2 linked regions of the Rattus norvegicus genome follow. The protein of the gene in region 1 binds, or shares a complex with, the protein of each later gene. Links are inferred from orthologs where the notes say so. Each region holds a gene or a part of one and is shown on either strand. Other genes may lie near its edges.

Region 1 (4,490 bases):
AGGCCAGTCTGATCTGAATAGCAAGTTCCAGGATGGCCAGGACTACACCGTGAGACCCTGGCGCAAACAGCAAACAAACAAACAAAAAGATACCATGTATTCAAGATACCGTGAATAAAAATAAATTATGACATAACCACTCATTTTAAGAAGAATCTCACCCACCCGTCAAGAAAAAAAAAAAAAAAAAAACATAACTGGAGGCGCTGGCACTGGCTAGCATGCTGCAGAAGCCATTTCTTCTCAAAGCATATTCCTACCTATTCTCTATTGGCTGACAGCCTGGCAGAACCAATTTTATATCAGAGAAAGCAGTCCCAACATTCTGTCCTTTTTTTGTTTTCCTGAACAGAAAAATAAAATCGAGGGGGTGGGCTAGGAAAGTGGAACTAGAGACACTGGCAACGTGATATCCAAAATAAACTAAGTTGAAACAGTACGTTCCACCTTCTTCCCAAAGCCATTTCCTTCAATAGCAACAGGGAGCGCAGTCTGCAAGTCATTGGTACACTGCTATTTTCACTTTCACAAGAGCCCAAAAACCAGTGAAGAGCAAAATCTCCCTCTTCCCTGATACCTTCCAAACCTTCTCTTTCTGTACTTCAACAAAACCTACTAAGGAGTCCTCAGCATTTTGTCTCACTGAGGATGCAGAAGGGGGAGGATCTGGTTGAGAAGTGGGAGGAAAAATAAGACTAGGTGAGACGCAAAAACGGAAAGAGTACAGGGGGATAGGTCATCACGAAAAGAAGACAAGGAAGAGGACTGCAAGCAAATTAGGCGCAGTTTTGGCTGTGAATTCACCGAGGAAGACAAAAAGATGGGGGTGGTATTAAAGAGCGGAAGCGAAATGAGGGGCAGACTGGAGACGCCGCGGAAATGTGGGCTAGGCAGGACGCTGGCCCTGATGCCTAGGGTTTGCTGCCAGTACCCAAGACAGCAGGCAGCAGGTACCGAGGACACCGGTGTCAAGGGAATCACGGGTGTGCGGGCAGCTTAAGACCCGGTTTCCAGCCTTAGGGGCCAGGGACCTACGCGGCGCCCGAGCGCGGGACACACGGGGCTCTTACCGGTAGTTTGGGATTGACCTCGCCCTTACAAAAGTGGCAGAAGAAACGGTGCGCGGCGACAGCGGAGCCCGCGTCCGCCCCCGCCGCCGAGGCCTCCGCCATTTTTCGCCTCTGCGGAGGATGTCCGAAAGGGCGGCCGGCGGTCCCTCCCCAGGCCGCTACCTCCTGGGCTGCGGTCGCCGCCGCCGCCGCCGCCGTCGCCGCCTCCTCTGGGCGGCCCGCCGCTCCAAGGCCCGCAAGGGTCACGTGAGTCCGCCCGGCCCCGAGAGGCCCGCCCGCCAGCGGCCGCGCGACCCGAGGCCCGCCTCCCGGCACCAAAGGCAGAGAGCCCGCCCGCCGGCACCTCAGACAGCCTCTGGCCGGTCCTCCAGCCTTCCAACGAGAGGAAAGAAAGAGCGTCTCCGGAAACCACCGACACGGTCGGCTAGAGCGGTCTGTGCTCTGACCCTTCCGCATCCGCCTGGATGGTGCGCTACTTCTAAGAAGGGGCTATGGGCTGCTCCTGATCTTAGGCTACTGTCCTCGGGAGGATAACTTTTGGAGCTTCTAAATTAGCACTGACCCTGAGGTTAGTGAAAAAGCTGCCGGAATGAGGAGGCCCTGACTCAGGGCTAAGAAACAAAGTCCGGAACAGAAACTTCCATGAAGGCAAGAGGAGCCAGGCGCCTTGGAAATGTTTTCAAGGATGGCAACTGGTCTAAGGATGTTTCTCCAAAGACGTGTGGATAAGTGAAATAGTCTTCTGTGCGACCCTGTGGCAAGAGGGAAAAAAATTTAGGTTCTGAAGAGTTGAAGAAAGAGATGAATAATGGCAGGTAGCAGCTTGTGATATAGGGAGGTAATTTATAAATCAATACTTCCATTTCTGCTTGTGTCCCATTCGTCAGGATGTAAAATGGAGCATAACTTCTTCTCCTAATTAAAATACCCTGTTGAGAAGCTCATTTTTACTTTCTCTTTCTAAATCATGGTTTATGGCTTGGGAATGATACTTTGTACCCCCACTGAGTCATGAACCTTAGTTCTTTGTTTCTGTGACAGATTGCGAAGTCATTTACACTCCCCCTCCCCCTTTACTTTTAGAGGTCTCACTCTGGACCAGGTTTGCTTGGTATTTATTATGTAGCCCAGACTGGTCTTGAGTTTATGGCAATCTTCTAGCTTTAGTGCTGGGATTACAGATGTTAGCCACCACACCCAGATGAATCCAGTCTTTAAAGATTATTGGAATCACATATACTCCCGTTTAAATAAATGGTATATGTATAGAGGAGGATAATATATATGTGTGTGTGTGTGTGTGTGTGTGTGTGTGTATGGATATATGGATATATATATTGAGACAGGATCTCATGTAGCCAGGCTGGTTTTGAACTCAATAATATGTAACCTTGAACTCCTGACCCTCCTACTTCCACCTCCTAAGTGCTGGAACTATAGGCATGCACCACCATACCTGGCTTTAGAAAAAAAATTGATGTCTGGTTTTCCAGTCCTTTGTTTTGGTGGGAGGGTGTCTCATCCACCAGAGTCTTGCTATATAACATAGGCTGGCTTTGAACTTACTTTGTGCCCCAGGTTGTCCTGGAACTATTGATTCTTTGGTTTTGGCTTCCTGCGTGCTAGAATTACAGGCAGTGTACACCGTCATATCTGACCATTCCAATTACTAAATAACAACACATTAGGATATCTTATGGTAGTTATATTGTACAAAGTCATTTTAAATGTTGGCATTGTGTACTCATTTAAGGTTATACTATAATTTATTGATAGATGCTAGATTGTTTTAGTTTGTCAATGCCAGTATTGTGAAGAGAACTCATGGCATGATTTTTACTATATCCTTGGAACAGAGGATCCTCACTTATAAGTATTACGATAAATATGCCTTAATATAAAAGTTTTGATGTATATTGCCGTTACCCTCTAGAAAAAAAATATGTGAATTTATATTGTTGTTCTTTCCTAGTTCTAAGGCTCCAAGTGCAATGACTCAAGCAGAAATTAAACTGTGCTCTTTGTTGCTACAAGAGCATTTTGGTGAGATTGTAGAAAAAATTGGAGTCCACCTAATCAGAACTGGGAGCCAGCCACTTAGAGTAATTGCCCATGACACAAAAGCATCACTGGACCAGGTATGTTTAGATAAGAGAGTTTGCTCTCTTGAACTTCTTCAATTCATTTCCTTCAAGCACCTTTGAACTGTAGTGCTCCTTTACTTAGGCAGTATAAACAGAGAAAGCCTGCCCTCTGGTCAAAAGCACTGTGGGTGGGGTGGGGGTGTGGTATTGTACTTAGGCCCCAGTGTACTGCTGTTCATGGTGTCCCTAGCTCATCTTTGCTGTTCCCATGCCATGCTCATTTATTTACAGTAAGTCTGCAGATCGAGTACTGCCTTTAAGGAATAGAAAAGATAGAAACAGTAAACTGTGAGGTGAAAGGTTTCTGTCGCCATCCTAGTCAAGGATGGAGCTCGGTTGGCACAGTGACTACATTGTATTGACAATTTGGGGATTGTGGTTTCCTTAAAAACACAGAACTAGGGCTGGAGAGCTGACTCAGAGGTTAAGAGCACTGACTGCTCTTCCAGAGGTCCTGAGTTCAATTCCCAGCAACAACATGGTAGCTCATAACCATCTATAATGGGATCTGGTGCCCTCTTCTGGTCTGCAGGCAGAATGCTGTTTACATAATAAATATATCTTTAAAACAAAACACAGGGGTTGGAGATTTAGCTCATTGGTAGAACGCTTGCCTAGGAAGCGCAAAGCCCTGGGTTCGGTCCCCACCCCCAAAAAAAGAACCAAAAAAAAAAAAACACACACACACACAGAAATATCTAAGAATACTTTTTTTTGTTTTAGTCCCAGGTGTGTGGATATGGGGCTGCTTCGGACTGTCGCAGCAGCCTTACCTTGTGTTCTAGCAGAGGCATGGTTTTGCCAGCTATTGATAGTCTCTGTCACTGTGCAATGTCTGGGATTCTGGGAACTTTTCAGAGGATAATAAATGCTAGCCCCCGATAGGTGGGGTCAGTGGTTGTTAGTCAGGGAAATTGTGGTTTACTAATTGTGTGGTCAAAGAAGAGATGAAAGAAATTAAATTCAGGGGGTTCCCTAATTCCTCCTTGTTTCTCTCTTATGTAGTGTTAGGGGTGAAACTGGGATGGGGATGGGAGTGGGTGGGAAAAAGAAGAACCCACAAAGTAGTAGAGGCCAGCTACACCGCATAGCATGTAGGATGTCCTGGCTTGAGCTCCAACACTAACATAGAACTGGGCATGGTGATTTATGTTCATGATCCCAGCACTTGAGAGAGGGGCTCAGAAGTTCAAGGTCACCTCAGCTATATAACAAATATCAGGCCACCCTGGGCTCCATGAGACCCTGATTCAGAAACAGAAAGCTAGAAGATGGA
Region 2 (4,376 bases), about 170 Mb from region 1:
CTGCAGCTCAGTCTCCACAGCTGCCTTGTCTGGCCTCAGTGAGACAGGATGCACCTAATCTGGCAGAGACTTGATGTGCTGGGGGTGGGGGAAGGGATACCCAGGGGGCCTCCACCCTCCCAGAAGGGGAGACGGGATGAGGGAGTCTCTGTGAGGGAGGGAGCAGGAGGGGGGAGTAGCTTTTGGGATGTAAATAAATAAATCCTAAGGCAAAAAATATAAAATTGATATACCAAGTATTGCTGTTGTCGCTAACCAGTTCAATTAGTGCAGTCCTGCATGGGGAGAAGGGGATTGGGACCCTACTCTATCTTGCTCCATTTTATCAATTTCTTAGGACCAAGAGAATGAAGTCTGCATTAATTAATGCACACACTTTATCCATGGGAAACAACTCCCTTATTGATCGTTCTTAGGCCTCGCTCTCATCCAGACCAGATAGCTGTCATAATTCTACGTTCATGTCCACCATCAAGCCTTTTTTCTTTTTGAGAGGCAATAAGCAAACAAATCCATCTGAAAGGTAAGGATGGACGAAAGCTCTCTAAGTCTACAGGTGAGACTGAGGCACTCTGCGGTGAGCAGTGCGCAGGCAGCAGAAGTCAGCAGTTTTCAGAGCACAGAGCCTAACACTCTCCACAAGGTGCCATATCTTAAAAGCCTACTCGTTACAAAAGCTGGAAATGTTCAACTGGTACTTGGGAAAAGAATGGAATATCTCCAGTCACAAGTCTCTGCAGTGTAACTACCGTAGCCGACTGACTGGGGATGGTGTGAGCTTTCAAATAAACAGCCACACAGTAGCAGCGCGCATCTCCTGGCAGAGAAGACTGAGTGGGCCTAGGCTCTGCCCAAGCTGGCTTTCACGCAGCAAAGGGTGAGTCAGAGTATTCCCGCACGGTAGCCCAACAGTGCCACGGAGGTCTGCAACAAGCTGTACACGCTCGCCAAGCCCCTCCCTCAGAGACAGCGCGCGCCCCCGGGACCTATTACCATCCTGCAGAATGAGGGTGGGTTGCACTGCCTGCACTCGGAATTGCCTGGCCCTCCAGCCAGGGCTGGGCGCCCGCACCACCTCGCTGTCAGAGAGCCAGGTCACGGTCTCAAAGTTGTCCCCGCGAGCCAGGGCCTCGGCTTCGGCGCGGTGCACAGCCACCTGGTCGAACTGATAGAGCCCGCCGGAGTGATCAAAGTGCACGTGGGTGGCCACGGCCAGCAGCGGCCGACGTCCTGCATCCTCTTTGGCACCACAATCCTGCAAGAGGCCGGAGGAGTAGAGGTACTCCGGGAGGCTGCGTAGCCCCAGGCCCGTGTCGATCACCACGTCCTGCTCCGAGCCGCGCACCAGCCAGATGTTGGCCCGGTTGCCTGACTCGTAGAACCGTTCTTGAATCCAGAAGATGCCATCGCCCAGAGACTTGTGGGCATACCACTCGAGTGCCGACATGCCGATGCGCAGGGGTGCGGCCGGGCAAGGTGGGTGTGCCTCCCACAGGCAGTCCAGGACTCGCCGCTGCTGCAGTGAGCGAAGAGCTACTCTCAGCTCCGGAGGAGGCGCGATCGAGGGGCGGGGATGCGGAAGGGAGCGCGGATAGGACGCAGCGACACTGCCCAGATCGCCTGTTCCTCGCCCTCCCGTCCAAGCCGCAGAGCGCAAAGACTGCACCCCAGCTGCCGCAGCTTCTGCAGCTGCAGCACCAAGGCGGTGACACAGGCCGCTGAAGCGGGGCGGAGACACCGGGCAATGCTGCCCTGCTCGGGGTTCCGACTGCAGAGGCCTGGAGGGATGCGTGGGAAGAGACAGGACCGCCCCCACACGGGCCGCGGGCGCTGCGCACTCGTAGCGGGAGGCCAGAGTGAGGCCGAGCCAGTTGGAGGTTGACTACGGCGCCTGCCAAGGGCTAAAAAGCTCCTTTCCGGGGGTGTGGCCTCGTAGAGTGGGCGGGGCTTCCAGTGCGCTACCCTGAGCCGGAGCCGCGTGCGGTGAGGTTCTCGCTGTTCCGGAGGTGGAATCTGCTGCTCCTTGCTGGCGCGACTGCCAGCTTTCCTGCCACCATCGCTGCACAGTGTGCCCAAGCCTCGAGACTTGGTGAGAAGGTAACTGGAAACTATCCCGGACTGGGCTGGAGGTGAAGAGGGTAGAAGGGAGTTGATGGGGCACGTGGAGAACGTGGTGGTCCGATAATCTGGAGCCAAAATTCATCAAAGCCCCTCTGGAGTGACTTTGGGCTGTACCCCTACCTCCCAAAGCCTGCTGCTGCCGGCTTCCAAACCTTTAAAAGTTTTGGTAGCCAGATCTTCCAGCCTCACGCTGGAAGTTTATCCTTTTACAAGAGAAGACTTTGCAAATCCGGGGACTGTGGTTTTTGTTCATGTAAAGTTTGGCGGCAGTTTGGCTAATAAGGGCATACTTATCATCGCTTCTTTTTTCTTAACTGTTGGCACCTTTGATAGTGGGGAGAGGGGCTGGTGATAGAATTTTTCTTTAAGGAGATCCTAAATGCCCGTCATAGTTCTGGGTGTTTCCTTGCTCTTTGAAGAGAGCAGAAAAGGTTAGAGCTTAAGGCAAGGCAGAGATCACTTTGAGGGGACAGGGAAAGTGGATAATCACTGGGTGTGGCCTTGCAAGCAACCGAAATCACCCCCACTGTCAGTATCAAGTCCCTGTGCTTGCACCCCAACCATTAGCTACCGATGCATCTCTTTCAGATTCAGAAATTCCCTTGAGAATTTGACTAACCTTCAGAAATTATAAAGAGACCCACGGGGACAGCATTATCAAAGATAATTAGCAAAATCCTTCCTGTGGCACATAAGTCTTTCCTGGAGGGAGAGATGCATTCTTCCTACACTCCCAAACTCTCCAGTGGGTGTGGGAGCAGGTCGCTGCTCTTTTGAGTATTTTGCTAATCTCATCTATTATTCAATTATGCAATTGGGACCATTCTTAGCACTAGTGCCTGAACTAAATGATGTGTGACAAGCAGAAAACTGTTTAAAGAAAAGTCTGATTTGAGTTCTCAAGAATCTGAGGAAGCTGACACTTGTACACAAATACTTGTTAACTAATGCATCATGAATGCAAAAATTGGGTTCTGCCTAAGAAGGTGTTCTCCACAGAGAAACACAGTGCCCTCTTTACTTTATGCTTCTGCGGCAGAAGGGAGGCACTCGGTAAGATGGCACAGTGTTGTTCTGTGGTCATGAGCTCAGAAATAATTCAGTGATGATTATCCAGCTTGTGCCTAGCTCTAGAGGCCTTTGGACCTACAGTTTCTGATGACTCTTTTATTCTTTTCAATATGACTCTGTTTCTCATCTTAATTAAATTTATGCTCAGATAGTCCCAAATGACTAGTTTATCTGGCCTGGTTCCTGCTTCACTTTCACACCATCTGTCAGGCTCTGACAGGTTCTCCTGTCCGTGAACTCCATAAGCGCAGAGACATTATTTTGTTCACCTCTCTATTTCCAGCAGAGAGGATGGTTTGACCCAGAGGTAGGGTTAGGGTTAGGGCTTCATAAAGACGCCAGTGGATGGTCAAAGACTCTCCCTGGGGAGGCAGAAAACCAACAGTCAGTTACTTGGTGAGAAGCAGAAGTTAAATGTCCTGAGCTTTGTTAAACTGAAGAGAACAGTATATCGGAAGTGTAAAGATTTGCCTTCTATTAAATTGACAAGAGTTTGGTTGAGAATGATAGGAATCTGGACATAAAATGTCTAGCATGTTTCAAAGGGTCAGATGAGCAATGCTAAGGCCTGAGCTAATGCAGAAGAAAGGAGAAGACTAGGGAACACACAGCTAATGGTCATTCTTCAGAGAGATACTGTGACCTGGCTTTTGCTGTCTCCCCTGACCTCCAGCTAGTTGAACATTTACTCATCTCCTTAAATGTGTAAGGTTGTGTGTACACGAGGATGATACATTTAAGTCACAATCATAACTCATGACATTTTAGATCTAGGAAGAATTGTAGAGATGAACTCACCATTTTCCAGGTGGTTGTGTTTGGAGATGGTTAGGATAGACTTTGGTCTCTTGAATAACGCCCATTTTTAAATCTCTTGGAACAGATTCCAAATGGGAATTTTGAGGCAGCGTTCTGAGCTGGAAGGGGCAGTGCGAACTTGTCCATGTTGCATTTTAAATTTCAGATTTGGGGGCTGGAAAGATGGCTTAGCAACAAAGAGCTCATGTTACTCTTGTAGGGGATCAGAGTTCAGTTCCTAACAACCACACCAAGTGGCTCACAAGCACCGTTGACCTTAGATCCAGGAGATCTGACATCCTCTTCTAACCTCCACGGGCACCTGCATTACTCTGCACACACCCATACACAGTTTAAGATTTTCAACTCTTTGCAGTTGCCAATTT

The links.
Region 2: Polr3c (region 1) and Polr3g share a complex: the UniProt entries of both Homo sapiens proteins name them as parts of the RNA polymerase III complex. The link is inferred for Rattus norvegicus from reciprocal best matches to the Homo sapiens genes POLR3C and POLR3G.

What each region holds. Positions count from the first base shown.
Region 1 is NC_086020.1:186,947,995-186,952,484, reverse strand, and holds the start of Polr3c (DNA-directed RNA polymerase III subunit RPC3), read left to right. Parts: upstream 1-1,526; 5' UTR 1,527-1,638; exon of another isoform or gene 1,639-1,871; coding exon of another isoform or gene 1,872-1,885; exon of another isoform or gene 1,886-1,908; intron 1,909-3,042; coding exon of another isoform or gene 3,043-3,061; coding exon 3,062-3,208; intron 3,209-4,490. Other genes in the region: E3 ubiquitin-protein ligase RNF115, read right to left, coding at 1,071-1,526. UniProt on the Homo sapiens protein: DNA-dependent RNA polymerase catalyzes the transcription of DNA into RNA using the four ribonucleoside triphosphates as substrates.
Region 2 is NC_086020.1:13,718,859-13,723,234, reverse strand, and holds the start of Polr3g (DNA-directed RNA polymerase III subunit RPC7), read left to right. Parts: upstream 1-1,447; 5' UTR 1,448-2,097; intron 2,098-4,376. Other genes in the region: acyl-coenzyme A thioesterase MBLAC2, read right to left, coding at 994-1,447. UniProt on the Homo sapiens protein: DNA-dependent RNA polymerase catalyzes the transcription of DNA into RNA using the four ribonucleoside triphosphates as substrates.